Linked DNA regions of Ovis aries. The protein of the gene in region 1 interacts with the protein of each later gene in a pairwise test. Links are inferred from orthologs where the notes say so. Each region holds a gene or a part of one and is shown on either strand. Other genes may lie near its edges. The genes, in order: ATXN3 and RAD23B.

What was found.
Region 2: the proteins of ATXN3 (region 1) and RAD23B interact in a two-hybrid assay, tested with the Homo sapiens proteins (2 studies listed by BioGRID and IntAct). The link is inferred for Ovis aries from reciprocal best matches to the Homo sapiens genes ATXN3 and RAD23B.

The regions. Positions count from the first base shown.
Region 1 is NC_056071.1:54,567,038-54,578,217, forward strand, and holds part of ATXN3 (ataxin-3), read right to left. Parts: intron 5,829-11,180; coding exon 5,728-5,828; intron 502-5,727; coding exon 407-501; 3' UTR 1-406. UniProt on the Homo sapiens protein: Deubiquitinating enzyme involved in protein homeostasis maintenance, transcription, cytoskeleton regulation, myogenesis and degradation of misfolded chaperone substrates.
Region 2 is NC_056055.1:15,811,430-15,822,609, reverse strand, and holds part of RAD23B (UV excision repair protein RAD23 homolog B), read left to right. Parts: intron 1-510; coding exon 511-638; intron 639-3,496; coding exon 3,497-3,629; intron 3,630-5,181; coding exon 5,182-5,309; intron 5,310-5,989; coding exon 5,990-6,160; intron 6,161-10,831; coding exon 10,832-10,945; 3' UTR 10,946-11,180. UniProt on the Homo sapiens protein: Multiubiquitin chain receptor involved in modulation of proteasomal degradation. Binds to polyubiquitin chains.

The DNA.
Region 1 (11,180 bases):
AGATTCACTATGCAGAAGGGAGGAAAAGAAGACAAAGTGTGTGGGGAAAGTTCTGTGGCCAGAGCTAGTTATAATTAGTTGGTCTGCAAAAAGATCCAAGAAAAATGCCCTAATTTTAGATATGTTAGATATTGCACACTCAAGAAAGAAAAAAGAACATTTAGAAAACTCTTTTAAATTTCTTTAATTGCTGAATGCCTCTTTGGCTAGTGTTTGGAGGATCATTTTTTAGGCCTAAAACTGATGTATTTTTCCACCTTATTATTGTTTTGTTTGCAAACCACCTAAGCCTTTTTTCCTCTGTTGAAAATTGTTCTCTTTGACACATTACCAAAATGGACCCTATGCTGTAATCACACAGGACAATATTGGAAAGACTGAATATCTAAATGATTTGTGAAAGGTATTACTTTTTTCCTTCTGTTTTGAGATTACTTCTAACAGTTTCTAAAGACATGGTCACAGCTGCCTGAAGCATGTCTTCTTCACTCATAGAATCACCTGTTGGGGATAAAACACACATTCCTTAGAAAGTTCTGGAAAATTTCCAAAGTCATCAAAAGGTAAGTGCTCAGAAACTATTTACTTGACTACTATAGTTTCTTTCCTTTTTTTTGATTCTGAAAGTTTACAGACAGTAAAATCCACTCTTTGACAGTTCCTCAAGTTTTGACAAATACCAAGTGGTATAACCATCACCACCACCCAGATACAGACAGAACCATTCCATGCACCCAAATATTCCCTCATGCTGTCTTTGCAGTCAGTCCCAATCCCTAGGTTTAGGCAACCACTGACATGTTTTTTGCCCTACAGTTCTGCCTTTTCCTGCATGTCAACACAAATGGAATCATGCATTGTGTATGTAACCTTTGAATATGGCATCTTAAACAAAAGCATTATGCTAAGGGAAAGAAAATTTAACTTTGTGTCTGTCAATGATACATACATACCTGAAAAGTTTGTTTTGATAAATAATTATTTATGCACAGGAAGGTGCAAAGATAGTTCAAAGAGGTCCTGTGTACACTGGCTAAATTTCACCTAATAATTAAATCTTACGTAACTTCAGCTCAAACCTAAATCTGAATACTGACATTGGTATTTACAATGTTGTGCGTAGTTCTATGGTATTTTTTTGTATGTGAAGATCTGTGTAACCACCACCATCAACACCACCACAGTCCAGACTGAGAACCACCAAAATCTCCCTCCTGCCATCCCTGTTTGTCCACACTCACTTCTCTTCCCTGTCCCTCCGACATTCCTTTACTACAGGCAACTGCTAATTTGCTTTCCATCTCTATCAATTTGTCATTTTTAGAATGTTACACACTTAGAATCCTACAGTGTGAGATCTTTTGAGATTTATTTTTTTGTACTCAGCATAATGCCCTTGAAATATATCTAAGCTGCTGCATGTATCCGCAACTAGTTTCTTTTTTAAAAAAAGTTAAAAAAAAATTTTTTTTTAATTCTTTTCACCACACCACATGCCATGCAGGATCTCAGTTCCCTGACCAATGACCTAACCTGTGCCCCTAGGAGTGGAAGCACAGAAGTCTTAACCACTGAACCAGCAGGGAAGTTCCTGGTTTCTTTTTAATACTGAGATGTATCCGTGGGATGGATGTACCGCAGTTGCTTTAGCCATTTACCTACTGTAGCACACTTGTTTTTTCCAGTTTTTATCATGACAAAGATGCTATGAACATTCAAGTACAGGTTTTTGCATGGATAGAACTTTTAATTTCTCTAGGATTAAATGGGAATATAACTGATGGCTGTATTGTCACTGTATATTCAGGTTTTATAGAAATTACCAAATTATTTTCCAGAGTGGCTGCACCAGTTCAAATGAAAGTTAAAAATCTTACCTCCCTCTACTTTCCTCTGATTACAATTGCCTTAAGTATTTCCTATAATTTACAGTAAAAACCAAATCAGTTATAATTCTTCCTGCATTCATAAAATATAATTTAGAAAACTGAAAAGGAGAGGCAAGTCTATTGTGTTTACACATATTTTTTTTCCTCCTACTGTTCTTTTTAAGTATTTATTTATTTGACTATGCTATGTTTTAGTTGCAGCATGCAGGATCTTTTTGTGTGTGTGTGTGTGCGTTGTGTGCGGCACAGGGGTTATCTTTTACTTGCAGCATGGAAACTCTTAGTTGTGGCAGGTGGGATACAGTCCCCCATTGTTGTTCAGTCACTCAGTCGTGTCCGACTCTGCCATGCCATGGATTGCACCACCCCAGGCTTCCCTGTCCTTCACTATCTCCTGGAGTCCAGTCAAACTCATGCCCAATGAGTCAGTGAGGCCATCCAACCATCTCATTCTCTGTCATCCTCTATTCTTTCTGCCTTCAAACTTTCTCAGCACCAGGGTCTTCTCCAGTCAGTCAGCTCTTCACATCAAGTGGCCAAAGTACTGGAGCTTCAGCTTCAACATCCGTCCTTCCAATGAATATTCAGGGTTGATTTCCTTTAGGATGGACTGGTTGGATTTCTTTGTTGTACAAGGGACTCGCAAGAGTCTTCTTCAACACCACAGTTCGAAGGCATCAATTCTTCAGTGCTCAGCCTTTTTTATTGTCCAGTTATCACATCTATACATGACTACTGAAAAAATCATAGCTTTGATTATACAGACCTTTGTAAGCAAAGTAATATCTCTACTTTTTAATACACTGTCTAGGTTTTTTTTTAGTTGGAGGATAATTACAATATTGTGGTGGTTTTTGCCACACATCGACATGAACAGGGATGGGTGCACACGTGTCCCCTCGTCCTGAACCCCTCTCTGACATCCCTCCCCATCCCATCCCTCTGGGTTGTCCCAGAGCACCAGTTTTGAGTGCCCTGCTTCCTGCATCGAACTTGCACTGGTCATCTATTTTCACCTATGGTAATATACATACTTCAATGCTGTTCTCTCAAAATCACCCCACTCTCACCTTCTCCCACATAGTCCAAAAGTCTGTTCTTTACATGTGTCTCTTTCACTGCCTTGTATATAGGATTGTCATTACTGTCTTTCTAAATTCCATATATATGCATTAATATACTGTACTGGTGTTTCTCTTTCTGACTTACTTCACTCTGTATAATAGGCTCCAGTTTCACCCAACTCATTAGAACTGACTCAAATGCACTTTTTTTATAGCTGAGTAACATCCCATTGTGTATATGTACCTCAACTTCCTTATCCGTTCGTCTGCCGATGGACATCTAGGTTGCTTTCATGTTCTAGCTATTGTAAACAGTGCTGCAATGAACACTGGGGTATATGTGTCTCTTTCAATTCTGGTTTCCTCATTGTGTATGCCTAGCACTGGGATTGCTGGGTCATATGGCAGTTCTATTTCCAGGTTTTTAAGGGAATATTCATATTGTTCTCCTGGAGAAGGCAATGGCACCCCACTCCAGTATTCTTGCCTGGAAAATTCCATGGATGGAGGAGCCTGGTAGGCTGCAGTCCATGGGGTCACAAAGAGTCGGACACAACAGTGACTTCACTTTCACTTTTCAGTTTCATGCATTAGAGAAGGAAATGGCGAACCACTCCAGTGTTCTTGCCTGGAGAATCCCAGGGATGGGGAGCCTGGTGGGCTGCCGTCTATGGGGTTGCACAGAGTCAGACACGACTGAAGTGACTTAGCATACTGTTCTCCATAGTAGGTGTACCAGTTTGCATTCCCACCAAGAGTGTAAGAGGGTTCCCTTTTCTCCACAACCTCCTCAGTATTTATCATTTGTTGACTTTTTAATGGTAGCCATTCTGACTGGCATGAGATGGTACACTATGGTTTTGATTTGCATTTCTCTGATAATGAGTGATGTTGAGCATCTTTTTATGTTTTTTTTAGCCCTCTGTATGTCTTCTTTGGAGAAATGTCTGCTTAGTTCTTTGGCCCACTTTTTGATTGGGTCGTTCGTTTTTCTAGTATTGAGCTGCATGGGCTGCTTGTACATTTTTGAGATTAATTCTTTGTCAGTTGTTTTGTTTGCTATTATTTTCTCCCATTCTGAAGGCCCCCTTTTCACCTTGCTTATAGTTTCCTTAGTTGTGCAAAAGCTTTCAGTTTAATTAGGTCCCATTTGTTTATTTTTGTTTTTATTTCCATTCCTCTGGAAGGTGGGTAATAGAGTATCTTGCTGTGATTTATGTCAGATAGTGTTCTGCCTATGTTTCCCTCTAGGAGTTTTATAGTTTCCAGCCTTACATTTAGATCTTTATTCATTCTGAGTTTATCTTTGTGTGCGGTGTTAGAAAGTGTTCTAGTTTCAGTCTTTCACAGGTGGTTGACCAGTTTTCCCAGCACCACTTGTTGAAGAGATTGTCTTTTCTCCATTGTATATTTTTGCCTCCTTATAGGTTTCTCAGGAGACAAGTAATGTGATCTGGTATCCCCATCTTTTTAATACTTTTCCACAATTTGCTGTGATCCCCACAGTCAAAGACTTTAGCATAGTCAATCAAGCAGATGTTTTTCTGGAATTTCCTTGCTTTGTCTATGATCAATGACTCCACAGAGTAGGCTTTTCTTGGGGCAAAAAGAAAATTGAGGCTACTAACCACTCTGTCTTTCTCTGGTCCTGAGCTTCCCAACCAGTCTGTCTTCTCTCTGCCTTTCAGATTCTGCTTATATTTGCTTTACACAAAAGCCCAGGGTTGTTAGCTGTACTTAGCAGAATGTGTAAGAAAAAGTACCAGTTCATTCCTTTTTATTGCTAATAGTAGTCCTTTGTTTGGATCTAACAGTTTCTGTGTCTATTCATCTGAAGAACCACCTTTAAGCAGCTTCCTGTTTGGGGCTATTATGAACAAATCAGCTAGAGCATTCACAGTAAGTTTTCGTGTGAATCTAATTTTCTTTTCTCTTGGTTAGAAACTAGGAGTTGGACTACTGGATTCCACGGTTAAGTGTACATTTAAGTTTGTAAGAAAATACTAAACTGTTTTCCAGAATTGTTGTACCATTTTACACTCCTACTAACAATGTATGAGAGTCCCAGTTGCTCTGATTCTTGCCTGCATTTGGTATTGTCAATTTAATTACTTTCTTAAGTCTTTCTTGTACGTGTGTAATGGCATCTCTTTGTGGGTTTGGTTTGCATTTCCCTAGTGACTAGTGATGTTGAGCATATGCCCAATTTTCATCCATATACCTGGTAAAGTGTTCAAATCCTTTGCCCATCTTTTTGAGTTATTTTCTTAGTTTTGAGAGTTCTTTTCATGTCCTACTTACAAGTTCTTTGTTGGATAGTTTCTTTTGCACTCAGTTTCTACCACCAATAACTGGCCAACATTCAAGACCTATTTATTAAACCAAGTCTAATAAGTAATTCTAGACTTCTGTGTTGTAATGCAGACTACACTCAAGTGTTTTCAGTTTTCCAAGTAGTAAAATGAACTTATTTTCCACCTACTATTATTCATTATCTTTGAGAAACTTTTGGAAAATGTACCAATTACGGTGACATTGCAAGTACTATTTATAATTTTAAAGCAAAACATTCATTGAGTGTTTTAAGGACACAAGTACATTAAGGAATTAGCCTGCTCCTTAATCCAAGAAAGTTTAGTAGGTCACAAATTCATTCAAGAATTTCAGTATAATAAAGAGAGGAGAAAAAGCCTACAAAGCCAAAAATCACATGGAGGCTGTGTGTCAAAGAGAGCATGCAGGTAAGAAACGTGATGTATGGTCAGGAGGCGTACCTAGATCCCTGTCAGGTGCTTCAGAACTTGTGCTCGACTTTTCACACAGATGTGTAAGCTGTCCTGGCAGAGCTTGTTGCTGCTGCTGCTGCTGCTGCTGCCTGAAACATTCAAGAGCGAAAGTACATTCAAAAAACAAAACCCAAGAATAAACATGCCATGAGAAAAACCATTCCCATGGAAAATAAATGGTTCCACGAAACAAAAGTGTCACTGGCTTGAACACCCCAGAAGAAGGCAAGAGCAATCATTCTGACAGAAAACAAACTTGTGATTACCAAAGGGTAGAGCAGGGGGAGAATAAATGAGTTTGGGATTAATAGATATATACTACTATATATAAAATATATAATAAGGTCCTACTGTATAGCATAGGGAACTATATTCAATACCTTACAATAACATATAATGGAAAAGAATCTGAAAAAGAGTATACATATATACATATATCTCAACAATTTTGCTGTACACCTGAAATTAACACATTGTAAATCAACTACACTTCAATTTTTTAAAGAAAGAGCAATCAGTCTGACATAAATTACTGAAAAGCATCACAGTGCTGATCCTAGGAAACCTAGATAGAAAATTCAAATTTATCAGACAAATTAACAGGTAGGTATTTTCACCATAAAAATAACACATTGTACGAATAGAGTCACTGTTTGAATGCAAATGTGTTGGTTTACAGGTCCTTAATATTGTTGGAAGTCACTGAAAATAAGCACCTTTGAAAAGATAAAGCATCTCAAATTACGGGCTGATTAAAATGATCCTTCCATGGCTGGCTCCTTCCTGTCAATCGTATCTAGGCTTCAGTATCTCCTCAGAGGCTTCCCTGGTGACTCTGATGGTGAAGTCTGCCTTGCCAATGCAGGAGACCCAGATGTGATACCCAGGTCAGGAAGAGCCCTTGAAGGAGGAAATGGCAACCCACTCCAGTATTCTTGCCTGGTGAGTCCCATGGACACAGGATATTTCCTGACTGTTCGAGCTAAAGCAGCCACCTGCCATTCGCACACTCTCATTTAATTTTCAGTATAAACTAGCATCATCTGATATTCTTTTGCCTGTCTCCCTCTGTAGAATCATAAACTAATGAGAGCGCAAAGCTGATCCTGCTTGTTTCTCCAGTACCTAAACCTGTGCTTGTCACCAAATACTTTATGAATGAAAGAAATGAAAACAACTATTTAAACTGCATTATCAAGTTTCAGTAATACCTGCTGCATTAAAGTAAATTCTCCCTGTATTTTTTTTCAAAAGGAAAATCCATGTCATAACAATTCACACATTAAAACGTTTAAACATGATGGTTATGATGTAAATAGGTAGGACAGTATCCTTATACTCAGAAAATATACTTATGCTTTGAGAAATATAATGGGAAATTGTAAGTTATTGTAAAGTGGTTCAGAAAGATCAAAAATTGGGAAATCTAGGTGGAGGGTATAAGGAACTCTGAACTATTTCTGCTTTTACATCAATTTAAAATTACTTCATATATATACATATGTATATGCTAAAAATTAAAGAAAAACTTATAAACAGCTGACAATCTAAGCAAGAAGCTATATAGCTTTCAAAAAAACGCATAAAAGGATTTTTAAAGGAAGCAGAATTTTTTTTAATGAATACAAAATTATTTAATGGAGTAATGAATGATACTTTGTTTTTTTAATCAACCTCACCCTCTAAGGTATTTCTTTTTTTTTTTTTACTGTTTAAAAAAAATTTTTTTTATTGAAAGTTAATTGCTTCACAGAATTTTGTTGTTTTCTGTCAAACCTCAACATGAATCAGCCATAGGTATATATATATCCCCTCCCTTTTGAACCTCCCTCCCATCTCCTTCCCCATTCCACCCCTCTAGGTTGATACACAGCCCCTATTTGAGTTTCCTGAGCCATAAAGCAAATTCCTGTTGGCTGTCTATTTTACATATGGTAATGTAAGTTTCCATGTTACTCTCTCCATACATCTCACCCTCTCTTCCCCTCTCCCCGTGTCCATAAGTCTATTCTCTATGTCTGTTTCTCCACTGCTATCCTGTAAATTCTTCAGAACCATTTTTCTAGATTCCATATATGTGCGTTAGAATACGATATTTATCTTTCTTTCTGACTCACTTCACTCTGTATAATAGGTTTTAGGTTCATCTACCTAATCAGAACTGACTCAAATGCTTTTCTTTTTGTGGCTGAGTAATATTCCATTGTGTATATGTACCACAGCTTCTTTATCCATTCATCTGTCGATGGGCATCTAGGTTGCTTCCATGTTCTAGCTATTGTAAACAGCGCTGCAATGAACAATGAGATACATGTGTCTTTTTCAACTCTGGTTTCCTCAGGGTATATGCCTAGGAGTGGGATTGCTGGCTCATACGGTGGTTTTATTCCTAGTTTTTTAAGGAATCTCCATACTGTCTTCCATCATGGCTGTATCAATTTACATTCCCACCAATAGTGCAAGAGCATTCCCTTTTCTCCACACCCTCTCCAGCATTTATTGTTTGTAGACTTTTTGATGATGGCCATTCTGACTGATGTAAGGTGGTATCTCATGGTTATGATTTGCATTTCTCTAATAATAGTGATGTTGAGCATCTTTTCTTGTGTTTGTTAGCCATCTATATGTCTTCTTTGGAGAAATGTCTGTTTAGGTCTCTTTCCCACTTTTTGATTGGGTTGTTTTTCTGGTATTAAGTTGTATGAACTGCTTGTATATTTTGGAAATTAATCCTTTGTCAGTTGTTTCATTTGCTATTATTTTCTCTCATTCTGAGGGTGGTCTTACACCTTGCTTACAGTTTCCTTTGCTGTGCAAAAGCTTTTAAGTTTAATCAGGGCCCACTTGTTTACTTTTGTTTTTATTTCCATTACTCTAGGAGGTGGGTCATAGAGGATCTTGCCTTGATTTATGTCATACAGTGTTCTGCCTATGTTTTCCTGTAAGAGTTTTATAGTTTCTGGTCTTACATTTAGGTCTTTAATCCATTTTGACTTTATCTTTGTGTATGGTGTTAGGAAGTACTCTAATTTCATTCTTTTACATGTAGCTGTCCAGTTTTCCCAGCACCATTTATTGAAAAGGCTGTCTTTGACCCATTGTATATTCTTGCCTCCTTTGTCAAAAATAAGGTACCCATAGGTGCATGGGTTTATTTCTGGGCTTTCTATCTTGTTCCATTGGTCTATATTTCTATTTTTGCACCAGTACCATACTGTCTTGATGATTGTAGCTTTGTAGTATAATCTGAAGTCAGGAAGAAGCAGAATTTTTAAATGCCCAGTAACACAATAGGGCTTCCCTTGTAGCTCAGATGGTAAAGTATCCGCCTGCAATGCAGGAGACCTGGGTTCAATCCCTAGGTTGGGAAAATCCCCTGGAGAGGAAATGGCTACCCACTCCAGTATTCTTACTTGGAAAATCCCATGGACAGGGGGAGCCTGGTGGGCTACAGTCCACTGGGTCACAAAGAGTCAGACATGACTGCGCAACTAACACATACAACACTATAAAATAGAATAGAATAGCACTTTTTTCTAGGGCCCCTCTTAATCTTGTGTTTTAAATATAAGCAACGAGGCAAATTCAGCCAGTGGGACTTGCAGTTTTTCCCTGCTGGCCTCTGAGCCAGACACTGATGTCTGCACAGGTTCTGGGGAGCATGGCTAACAAAGGACACATAGGCAGTGGGCTCCCACAAGCATACTCTGATTCTGGAATGTGACACGAAAAAGACAGGCTGTGAGGTACAAGGAATTCCTGGGGCATCCTCTCCATGCCCTCCTCCCCCTCCATTCAAGAAAGTATTTCAGAATGCAAGGGAGTGATAGGTGAGAGAGTGCCTTTAGAGAGAGAACCTTCATTCTACTTCCAAGTGAGAAGTAAATCAACTGCCAGCCTTGAGAGTATTTTGACACCTTTCCTACGTGGGGACACTGTAAGATGGACCATGTTCAAACAGTAAATCAGCATCCTTCCCCTCTGTGCCTTCTAACATGCCTTCAGCATGAGAAAGGCTGGAAAACTGAAAACGACATGTCTTTGACTGTTTTCGAGCTAGGAGTCTGGCTACCAGTTAAACACATGCCTGAGACTTACACGGCAGAGGAGGTACTGTCATCTTCCTGCAGCTTTGGTGGGTCTCTGCTGGCAAGTAACGCCACGGAGACGCCAGTTCCACAATCCTGCTTCCTGGCAGCTGCAGTGGGGGCCAGACTGCAGGTTCCCATGTCTAAGCAACTGTGGTGGCAGCTTCTTGGTCTTAGGGTCACAGCTAAAGCAGTGTGTTCTTAAACTCGATATCCTGATTCCGCTTTGTCCAAAGGAGGCTTGAGAGGGAGGGGATATATGTATATTTACGGCTGATTCACATTGTTGTACAGCAGAAACCAACACAACACTGGAAAGCAATTATCCTCCAGTTAAACATTTTAAAAATCTCTGTTTTTTAAGCTGGACTCTGATAAACTACATCACACCACTGAAGTGGTAGTTCAAGTATTAGGTAATCAAAAAATCACAGTAACGCATGACTATGAAAACATTGGGTTTTCCTTGTGGCTCAGATGGTAAAGAATCTGCCTGCGATGCAGGAGATCCAAGTTCAATTCCTGGGTCGGGAAGATTCCCCTGGAGAAGGCAATGGCTCCCTTGTTTCTCTCCTGGTTAAGAACCACTTTTTTAGTGACAGAAAGAAAGAATCAGCATCATTTCAGAGTTATATCTGCAGAAGGCATTAATAATGCTAAGTGTATCTGTAGGCTACTTCACAGTTTACAAAACAGTTTTATATACATTGCCTCATTTGATGTTCATAACATGGGAGTTAAGGTTTTACAATGATATAGCTGATAAAGTAGAGTTTTGCTCAGGGTTCTATACATACCATGGATTTGGAGATTACCACTGGGAAAAAATATCACAGCTATGAAAGTATCAGCTAAGAACGCCTACTCATAAACTATAAATTTGTAACAGGTAGACTTTCAACAGTATTTTCACGCTTAATCCATGAACACTGTGGCTAGACTGTGGCTACTACATTAAGTATGAAGCTTCAAATACTCTACAGGAAAAAAAAAAAAAACACCTATAAATTTCAATGAGTAACAAATTAGCACCAGGGCATCTGGAAAAGATCAGAAGGAAGAAATGGCTCCACAGGCTTACAGCCAAGTTCTCCACAATACAAACTATTGTGACAAGGATCCATCTAGGTTTAATAATCAGAAATTCTAGTGAAAGGCAAAAATCAGTTTCTCAGCTCCTTCAATCATGAGTCCTACAAGATTCTGAACGCTAACTAAAGTTAAACAGCAACCCCAAGAAGTTAGGTCTTAACTCTTCTCAGCAACAACTAACTGTGTAAAACATTCTCTAGCTCTACTCAAGTTACCACTGGTATTTTCAAAGTCAAATTAGGAGGTAGGGGATAGGAAGCT
Region 2 (11,180 bases), on another chromosome or scaffold:
AGAATTTGTTCGGTGTCCTTTGTGACTTCTAAGAGACTAACCACATACCTCGGCCATACCGCCTTCCTCTGTCATCAAAGAAGCACATAACATCTCTGCCCCTGCTTTTTTCTCTAACTTGCCCCCACTTATTTCTCTGACCCTCTCATCTGCTTCGCTCCTGCTTTTAAGGACCCTTACCATTACATTAGACCAACCCAGGTAATCCCGGATAATTTCCCTATCTTAAAGTCAGCCGATTAGCAACCTCAATTCCCTTTTGCTTTGTAACCTAACTTACTCGGAGTTTCTAAGGATGGGGGGAGGTGGATTGTTCTGCCTACCGCATGTATGTTGTAGTAGTTGTATGTGTGTTTTAGTTACTCATCGTTGTGTTCCTAACACTGTAGTGCCTGACAGTGTATGCATACATATACACACACTGAAACTATGTGGAGAATGTTTGTTTATTGAATTTTCTTTCTCTTTTCCTTTTTCCCTTCTTCCACCCACACACACATCTTTTCTTAGTGACAGGTCAGTCTTACGAGAACATGGTAACTGAGATCATGTCAATGGGCTACGAACGAGAGCAAGTGATTGCAGCCCTGAGAGCCAGTTTCAACAACCCTGACAGAGCAGTGGAGTATCTCTTAATGGTGAGAAACATTTTGCTTTCTTGGTTCTAGTTGTTTAAGGATGAAATCTCAGAGAAACAGAAATTTTAAAGAAACAGTAGCAGTTCGTAAGATAATGGTGATGTATGCTCATTTGCATAATGCTTTTATTGGGTTGATTTAATTAATGCTTTTATTGACATTTATTGGGTTTTCAAAAAGTTCTTTTGGGGTTTTCCATTACATCTTACGGAAAAATCAGCAAACCTTTTGGTCAACCCAGTATTTTTCTTAGTGCATTATCATTTTCCGTTAATAAAGTATAACCTCTTCTAAAAGATTGTGATAAGACTTTGAATCAGAAAATGTCACTAAATGGATTTTAAAATTGGCTATCCACTTGGGGTATTAGTGTCTAACCTAGTTATATCATCCTCTGAGGATGAGAGCTGTGTGTTAGAGGGCTAAGGGTGGGGCAGGTTTTCAAACTAATTGAATCCAACATTTCAGTAGCTTTTTTGCCTGCCAAACATGATCCTGGATGTACTATGTAGAGTGAAAGTTTCAAGTTGGAAGTCCAAGTCAAATTTTGTACTATGTAAGTTTTTGTATTTAGTTGCTAGCTTTTAACAATTGGGAGAGTTTGCTGAAAAGTTCAGATAATTGATTTATCTGGACAACTCAGATCCCAGATTTTCACAAGGGTTTAGGGGAAATTTTAGGTTGTAGACTGCTCTACTAATAAAAGTTTTTGAGAAATAGATTGTTATGGGCATGAACTGAAACCCTTGATATTTTACAACAACGAATGTCTGTTTTACAGATGTGACACAGACCAAAAGCAAATTGTAAAAGTTTGCAATAATATTGGATTAATTTTTTAGTTTTAAGATTTTATCCTGCAATTGTCGTTGGTGTGTTAGAATATTATCAAAAGTCTGTATTACCCTAAACATCATCTCAGATCCTAACTCCTTGGAGAATACCGTCCACAGTTCAACCCATTCCCTTGTTTCTAGGTGTGCTTCTGGTAGAAACTCCTTTTCAGTAGTTTCAGAGTAGTTTCAGAAGAGTCCCCGTCATGAGCAGATAATTGCTTCTCCTCCAGTCATTTCCTGCTTACTGGCATGAGGTTCAGAAAATCTTAACATACCATTTAACTTTTGAATTCTTTTTCCCATTGTCCACTTGAAAGTCTGTAAAATACTGACAGTTCATTTAATTATCAGTTTGAAATTGAGGAATCATACTGGATTGAGAGTTATTGTGGATCAGTTTATGGTTGCCCCTCATTCCTCCCCAAAAAATGTGTATTGCATAAAAACATTGCCTTTCCTTTTATAGAATGGCTTTAATTTATACCTGATTTTGGAATTCTGCATAATTTTAATGGTGTCATCAAATATTTTGACCCAGTAGATTTGAAATTTTGGGGTTTGAAAAAAATGAATTACTCTTTTCACAGTTGCTACTATTTAGCATCAAATGCAAATAAATAGATGAGAGGTTCATGGAAACAGTTTATCCTTTAGTTTCAATTGAAGCAGGCACTTGTTTTGGTGCTTTGAACTGTTGCTAGTTTTTGATGAATCTATATAAGTGCAAGTGAGTGTATAGAAAGAAGTAATAATCTAACAAAAAGCTAAATCTTGTGTGTGAGGATTTGAGGTAGATCTGTAGCAATGGTGATTAACTTTTGACTTTAGCTAACTTGTTTGAGAATTTGATGGAGGCTTTTGGACCCTCGATCTGTATATAGTTTGTCCGCACTTGATAGCTCCTCATTTAAGGGTTTGAATTGGTGGGTGGCTTGCAGTGCCTAGAGGGACATCCAATATAGCAATTATTATCCTGCTATTTATTGTCCTTCATTCTTTATATGTTTATGATTTTAGCTTCTGATTTACTGGGAAATGGAAGTGATTACTAACACCATCTCATATTCATATACAGTATTTTCTTCTCTATTCCCTTTCCAAAACCTATAAAGGTTATTTGATAGCTATATGTGAGAAGTCTTATAAATCATTTTTATCAAAATAGAGTGTTCCAAAAATCTTAGTGCAGTTTAAAGTTATAATAACTTCAGAAGATAAATGTCATAAACTTAGAAAAATTATCACCCAAAACTTGAAGATTTTTTTATACCCATTTACTTTTTTCTTTCTTTCTTCCTTTGGGCCATACCACACAGCTTGTGGGATTTTAGTTTCCTGACCAGGGATTGAACCTATGCCCTTTGCAGTGAAAGTGCAGAGTCTTAACCACTGAACTAAAAAGTCAGATATGTCCTAATAAGATTTGTGTTGATATTTTGAAAATTTAAAAAATTAGCTTTTTAGTGTTGGACAGTATTATATGCAAGTTTAGGATCTTGCCTGATACTTTGGTGTTAGATATTAATATGTGTTGCTGTATAAACATCATTTCATGATTTTTTTTTAATTAATAAAGTTCCTTTATGTCTTAGATCTACACTATCTAGTTGGGTAGCTATTGAGTACTGTTAAGTACAAGTAAGTTAATACTTAACTCTTTTTTTAAGTGTCTTAGTACCATTAGCCATATTTCAAGGTCTCAGTAGCTACTTGTGGCTAATGGGTATTTTTATTGGACAACATAAATATAGAGGTGTTCCGAAATGGAAAGTTCTGTTGGGCAGTGCTGCTGTATATAATAGCAGTATGGATTCATCCATACCACATTGAGGCCATTTCTAATCTTGAATATGTGCAGATTTTGTTTGTGTTTATCCTTTACTTTGAATTGAAGCAGACGTCTGTTTGATGCTTTTAGAAATTAGACAAGGATATTGAATAGACACAAAGTTTCTTCTTCTGTGTAATATTTAAGTAACTTTGAGTGAGGAGCTATTCTAAAGCTTGGAAATCATGTTACAGGGAATTCCTGGAGATAGAGAGAGCCAGGCTGTGGTTGACCCCCCTCCAACAGCAAGCACTGGGGCTCCGCAGTCTTCAGTGGCCGCAGCTGCAGCAACCACGACAGCAACAACTACAACAGCAAGTTCTGGAGGTAAAGTGGAAACTTTTGATGGGGAAGAAATGGCCATGAATTTTCAGTTTAAAATAGTTTAACCTGAAATTCTTTTGAGGTGACGTTCATTCTCAGAGCATCATAATTCTTAAAATCTCTTCTAGTGTTAGAGAAGGGCCCAGAAGAAACAATACTACGTGGATATAAAAGATACTCTTATTTTAAACTTCATCACTGCAGTTTTGGTAAAGGACATATTTCTGTTTAGCTCCTTCTAAGGAAGAGATGCTTCCCATTTAGATGCTTGCATTTAGTGTTATATTCAGAATGGTTTGCGCACCTTGTCTCTTTCTCTCCCTATAAATATCATAAAATATAATTCCAACACCAGCAGGATCCTAATGGTTATTATAGAAGCAAGAAAATGAAACCTAGTATATTTAATATCTTGTATCTAGAGGTGAAATCAAAGCTTGAATTCAGGTATCTTTACTGACTAGCACCCACACTTGAGTTGGCAAAGGTTTGACTAGGAAGCAAAGCCTAGAGCCTGTGAGAGGCCTGGGAATGTTCTCTTTCATTCTTTCTTCTGTAAAATTGATAAAGTAATTCAAACTGTTAATTTTGAAGAGATCATTCCTTTATGTATTTCCTAGCTCTAATTATGGCAGTCAGTTCTGGTTGATAAAAATCCCTAAGCACTTTGTGTACAGTCTCCCAGAGGATAAGCTTTCATTTCCTGAGATTCAGCATGGAAATGGAGGAGGCAGAGCTTTGGTTCAGGTTTGGGGTGCTGTCCCGTCCAGTGGTACTTACTGAATAACTTAGTTCCTGAGTCTTGTTTTCTTCTGTAAAACTAGTGTTACACAAAGAAGAGTAAATAACCGTGCTCTGTGGCCATTTTAATTTGAATGATTGTCTTGAATAATGCAGGAGATAAGAACGTACATCTAGAAAATTCTCACTAATCTTCGTAAATACAATTAAAGAGGGTAGGTTTTTTTGTGTTTCTTGGTTTTGGTATATATATTTCTTAGGAACTTTTGAGCATCAGAAACAGCTTCTAATGCTTTTTATAGAGTATATGCAGGCACAGGTTGTCGGTGTTATTTGATAGATTGAGTGCCCCAGGCAATTGTAGGAAAACGTCCTGCTTTTAGTGGTCTGTTCTCTCTGCGTTGTGTGCTGTGCTGTGCCGAGTTGCTTCCGTCGTGTCTGACTCTGCAGCCCCATGGACTGTAGCACGCCAGGCTCCTCTGTCCATGGGGCTCTCCGGGCAGGAATACTAGAGTGAGTTGCCATGCCCTCTTCCAGGGGATCTTCCCAACCCAGGGTTGAACCTGCATCTCTTATGTCTCTTGCGTTGGCAGGCAGGTTCTTTACCACTAGTACCACCTGGCAAACCCACTCTCTACCTGAGCTAGTAGGAATAATTTCTGCAGTATAAGACTTGCAAGTTGGTACAGTTTGAAGATTGTCGTTACTTCATTTTATATACATCTTAGAACTCAAATCATTTTTTTTCTTCACAATGTTTGCTGTCTAAATTATGTTTGTTATTTTTGTTTAAAAATGTTTCTGTTTATTTTAGGACACCCTCTTGAATTTTTACGGAATCAGCCTCAGTTTCAACAGATGAGGCAAATTATTCAACAGAATCCTTCCCTGCTTCCAGCATTGCTACAACAGATAGGTCGAGAAAATCCACAGTTACTTCAGGTGACTGTTTAATCAGTTTCAAAAATGTATTAACATTTTGTAGAAGTCAATGGGCACTCCTTCCCCTCTACCAGGTGTATAAACTGTTCTTCCAAGCTACCCTCAGGAGAATGTTATAGAGGTACTGATAAAAAGAGAATTGGGGTGGGGGTGGGGTTAATTTAGTCAAATACTAAGTTTGGGAAACACTTTATTAAAGAATATGAGAAACTTTCGCAAAAAGAAATATTTAATTTTCTAAATCTCTCTTTCTCAAGCTTATTACTAGAGGTGCACTGCCTCTTAGAAAACATACCTGTGGGCTTATTTTATTGTTCAGGTCATGAAGTATTTGAGTTTTGTGTAGCATTCTACTGCCTGCTAGTTGTGGAAGATAAAAATAATATAGACATAAATATAATTTTTCTTTTAGCCATCAAGTAGTTTTTTAATAGTAATGGGGGAGTGGAGTGTTTATGAAAAAGAATTTGAATTCTTTTAATTCTTCACTGTTTACCTCCTTCAGAAATACTGAGTTTCTTTACAAGAAATCACATCCTTCCAAAGGCTGACTAATCCAGAATCATTCTAAAATAATGCAGTTGCAGAGTTGTAGCTTTCCTTTTTATTTGTATTAGAGTTCTTGTTTTCCTGGAGGTACTTTATAACAATGTGTTGTTGTGTTCTTTAAATCGCTGCAGCAAATTAGCCAACATCAGGAGCATTTTATTCAGATGTTAAATGAACCAGTTCAGGAAGCTGGTGGTCAAGGAGGAGGGGGAGGAGGTGGCAGTGGAGGAATCGCAGAAGCTGGAAGTGGTCATATGAACTACATTCAAGTAACGCCTCAGGAAAAAGAAGCTATAGAAAGGGTGAGTCTACGTGAAACTTAAAAATTCGGTTCCTAGTCACACTAGCCATGTTGCAGATGCTCAGTAGTCACTGGGGCTAGTGGCTCCTGCATCGGGTAGCCTAGATATAGAGTATTTCCATTGTGGAAGATAGCTCCTATTGAGCAGAGCCCAGTAAAGCATTATTCATGTAGGGATTGCAGTGGAGACAGTCTCTTCTCAGCCCTACTCTCATCATGTTCTTTGTGAAGCCCAAGAACCAGCATTAAATACCAGTCTAGCATGAAATTGTTATAAATAAATCAAGCTAAAGATTTCATTGATGTTTTAAAATTCAAGAAGAAAAAAGTATATGCTCAATTCAGGATTATCCTTTTTTAAATTTATATTTCAAATTTTATTTCACTGTTGTCTCTAAATATAAATATGTGTGTGAATTATATAAAATATGTATAGTGGATATCAGAACCTGATATTTCAATTCTCTTTTCACCCTTATCAGGTCAACCTGTACAGGTTGTGCCATTGCAGTATAACTTAATACTTAGAAAATCATCGGAGCTTTAATTTGTCTTTATGACATAACCATATAAGTGTTCAAGGTTTATAACTAGTATTTCTTAAAAGGTACTTTATATATTGTGCTGTTTTACCTCCTCAAATAATAGAAATGACAGTAGACAATTGCCTCACTTGTTCTGTAGCAACTTTTTTTTTTTTTTTGAGACTGTCCTTGATTTCTGTGTTGGAGAAATTTTCTTTTTGTTGCTTTTGCTTTTGGTGTTATACGAACATTGCCTTACCCAAGGTCAGAGGACTTGAGCCTGTGTTTTCCCCAAAGAGTTTTATAGCTCTTATTACATTTACGTAATGAAAAATGTCTATGCTCCATTTGAGTTAACTTTTTGTTTATAATGTGAGGTGTAGGAGTCTAGATTATGTTTCGCCTGTATAATATCCAGTTGCCCAGCACCGTTTATTGAAAATACTTATTTTTATTCTTTGACACTGTTATAAATAGAATTGTGTTCTTTTTATTTATTTATTTTTGGCCACACCAACACATATGGGATCTTAGTTCCCTGACCAGGAATGAAACCCATGACCCCTGCATTGGAAGCACAAAGTCTTAACCACTGGACCATCGGGGAAGTCCTTAGAATTGTTTCCTTAATTTCAGTTTTTAGATTGTTCATTGTTATATGGAGATACAATTTTGTGTATCATGCAGTTTTGTACACCAAAAGTAAATTTTGTGTACCTTCTTTAACTCAGTTGTTAATTCTTAATTTGTGTGTGTTCCTTAGGATTTCTGTGTGTAAGATCATTTGAAGGTAGACATAGTTTTACTTCTTTTTCAATTCAGGTGTTCTTTGTTTATTTTTATTCACATATATACCAACTTGCTTAATTGTCCTGCCAGAACCTCCTCTATTGTTGAATAGCAGTGATAAGAGCCGACATCCTTGTCTTATTCCCGATATTAGAGGAAAATGAAATACTAAGTCTTCCACCACTAAGTTTGATGTTTTCTGTGGGTTTCATTAGATTCCTTTCATCAGGTTGAGGAAGTTCTCTTCTGTTTCTATTACAGTGGATGTTTTTATCACAGAGGATGTGAGGTTTTGTCGATTGTGTGTTGATTGAGATGGTCATGTGATTGTGTCCCTTTTTCTGTCAGTATACTTTGTTGTGCTGATTGATTTTTCTGTGTTGGCTCAGCCTTGCATTCCTGAGGTGAATCCTCTATGGGCGTGGTGTTTAATGCTCTTTATGTGTTGCTGGAGTTGACCTGTTAGTGATTTGTTGAGGATTTCTGCATCTTCATGCATTAGGAGTATTGGTCTGTAGTTTTCTTACGGTGTCTTGGTCTGGTTTTGGTGTCAGGCTAGTACTGGTCTTATGGAGTCAGTTCCCTCCTCTTCTCTCGTTTGGAAGAGTTAATGAAGAATTGGTGTTGATTTTTCTTTAAATTGCTGGTACAGCTCACCAGTGAAGTTATCTGGGCCTGGCTTTTGGGGAATTTTTGTGATGACTGGTTAAGTCTCTTGTCATAGGACTTGTTCAGGTTTTCTGTTTTGTTTCGTTTTTTTTTTTTTTTTTCTTGAGTCAGGGTGGTTTTTGTTTTTCTAGAAATTTGTTTCATATATGTTGTCTAATTTGTTGGCATAAGCTGTTCTTAGTATTCCTTTATTGTTGCTTTCGTTTCTATAAAAAGTAATAATAGTGTTCCCACATTTATTTTCTGATTTAGTCATTTGAATTCTCAGATTTTTTTTTCTTGTCAATTCAGTAAAGGTTTGTTAATGTTGATTTAAAGGGAAAAAAGCAAGAATTTTTGGTTCTGTTGATTCTGTATTTTTCTAGTCTCTATTTTATTTCCTTCTGTTTGCTTTAGATTTAGTTTCCTCTCCCCCCCCCCCCAGTTTCTTAAGGTGAACTTAGATTACTGATTTACTATCTCTTATTACACAGGCATGCCTTGTTTTATTGTGCCTCGCTTCATTACATTTTGCAGTTAAGTCCTTTTTTTACCAATTGAAGGTTTTTGACTGTTAAGATGATGGTTACTTTTGACAATAAAGTATTTTTAAATTAAAGTATATACATTGGTTTTTAGACGTGATGCTGCTGCACACCTAGCAGACTGCAGTATAGTGTAAACATGACTCATGTGCACTGGAAAATCAAAAATTCTTGTGACCTGCTTTATTGCCACATTCGCTTTATAGCAGTATTCTGTAGCTGAACTTGCAGTATCTCTGAGTTGGACCTGTAGACATTTACAACTAGAAACTTCTGCAAGAACTGCTACAGCAACATGCTGTAAATTTCAGTGTATTGACATTTTATTTTCATTCATCTCAGTATTTTCTAATTTTGTCAGTTTTTGATCTGTAGGTTTTTTAGGGTTTTATCAATTTCCACATTTATGAATTGTCCAAATATCCTTCTTTTATTGATTTCTGAGTTCATTCCATTGTGGTCAGAGAACATAATTTGTGTAACTTTAATCCTTAGAAACTCACTGGGGCCTGTTTTGCGGCCTGACCTGGTCCTTGGAGACTGTTCTGTGTGTACTTGAGAAGGGTGTGCGACTTGCCGCTGTTCGCTGCTCTGTGCATGTCTGTTAGGTCTGGTTGGTTTAGCATTTTTTCAGGTTTTCTACTTGCGTGTCTTCTGCCTTCTCTTATCCGTTACAGAACTTGGAGATATTGATGTCTCCAGCTATTGTTGCATTTTTCCCTTCAAGTCTGTCAGTTTTTGCTTTATGTATTTGGGGGCTTTGTTGTTCTCTTTGTTTATAATGAAGTCTTTTTGATTGTTTAATCATCATAAAATGTCTTTGTTTTAGTCACAATTTTAATTGAAGTCTGTTTTGTCTGGTATTAATATAGCCACTTAAGCTCTCTTTTTGTGTAATTATTTGCATGGTATATGTCTTTTTCTATCCTTTTACTTTCAGCGCACTGTGTCTTTCAATCTAAATTGTGTGTCTTACTGTAAAGCATATATAGTTGGATTGTGCCCTGTTTACCTTTTACTTCAGCTAGCCCAGCTTTAATGTGGACAAGACCTAAATAACAAAATCATTTTTTAGTTTCTTCTCCTTTCATGGATGAGTATAATCATGCTGAATTAGGAGTTTTGCCTGGTTTTTAAATAAAGGTCCTTTCTTGATACAGTCTAATGCAAGGGACAAATATATGGCACCTGGGGAATTAGATTAATTCACCTGAGTGTTTGCTACTGCTAAGTCACTTCAGTCGTGTCCGACTCTGTGCGACCCCATAGACGGCAGCCCACCAGGCTCCCCCGTCCCGGGATTCTCCAGGCAAGAACACTGGAGTGGGTTGTCATTTCCTTCTCCAATGCATGAAAGTGAAAAGTCAAAGTGAAGTCGCTCAGTCGTGTCCATCCCTCAGCGACCCGATGGACTACTGCCTACCAGGCTGCTCCGTCCGTGGGATTTTCCAGGCAGGAGTACTGGAGTGGGGTGCCATTGCCTTCTCCTCACCTGAGTGTTTAAAGGCTTTTAAAAGCAGTGATTATTGAGTTGCAAGTGATTTTCAATAGACTATGAAAATAAAATTAAAGGGATCGTATCACCTTTTAAAGTGCTATAAAAATTAAGCAGATAAAAACAATACTGTATGTCTTGACCTCAGAAGTATGTCATGTAATATTACTAATAATTGACCACCCATTTTTGTAGTATGAGGTGTTTCATAAAGCAAGGAGGTTAAGAGTGATATTTGACCCTTATTAAGGATATGGCTAAAAAACAAACAAACAAACAAAAAACAAATAATTGGATTAGGTAGTTAAACTCATCTCCACCTCCGGTTGCTCTCATCCATAGTTTCACCGCTTATGTACTAAAAGCCGTCTGATTTACAGATTTCTGTAGGGTCATTTATTTTTAAACTACCACAGCAGCTAACTTTTAGTGTTAATGCCAGTGAATGTTATCAAAGTATCTATTTAGCATCAAAATTTTAACTAGGAGCAAAGAATTTTGTAAGTGGTTACAGGAAAGGGCCCCAAGTTCTATCTAGCTCCTTGAATTGGACAGCAGCTCCATGATCAGAAAGGGATGAATTCATCTAAAATTCTCAAGTTTTTGCATCCCTTATAGTATGTTTTCAAACAATGATGACTCCGTAATATGTTTTCTTTCTTTTCTTTCAGTTAAAGGCATTAGGATTTCCTGAAGGACTTGTGATACAAGCATATTTTGCTTGTGAGAAGAATGAGAACTTGGCTGCCAATTTTCTTCTACAGCAAAACTTTGATGAAGATTGAAAGGGACTTTTTTTTTAATCTGACACTTCACACCAGTGCATTACACTAACTTTGTTCACTGGATTGTCTGGGATGACTTGGGCTCATATCCACAATACTTGGTATAAGGTAGTAGATTGTTGGGGGTGGGGAGGGAGGGTCTAGGATATAGGGCAGGGATAAATACAGTGCATGTCTGCTTCAGCTAGCAGATGCCGCAAATCCACACAGTGTGTACAATATTATACAACCAAAA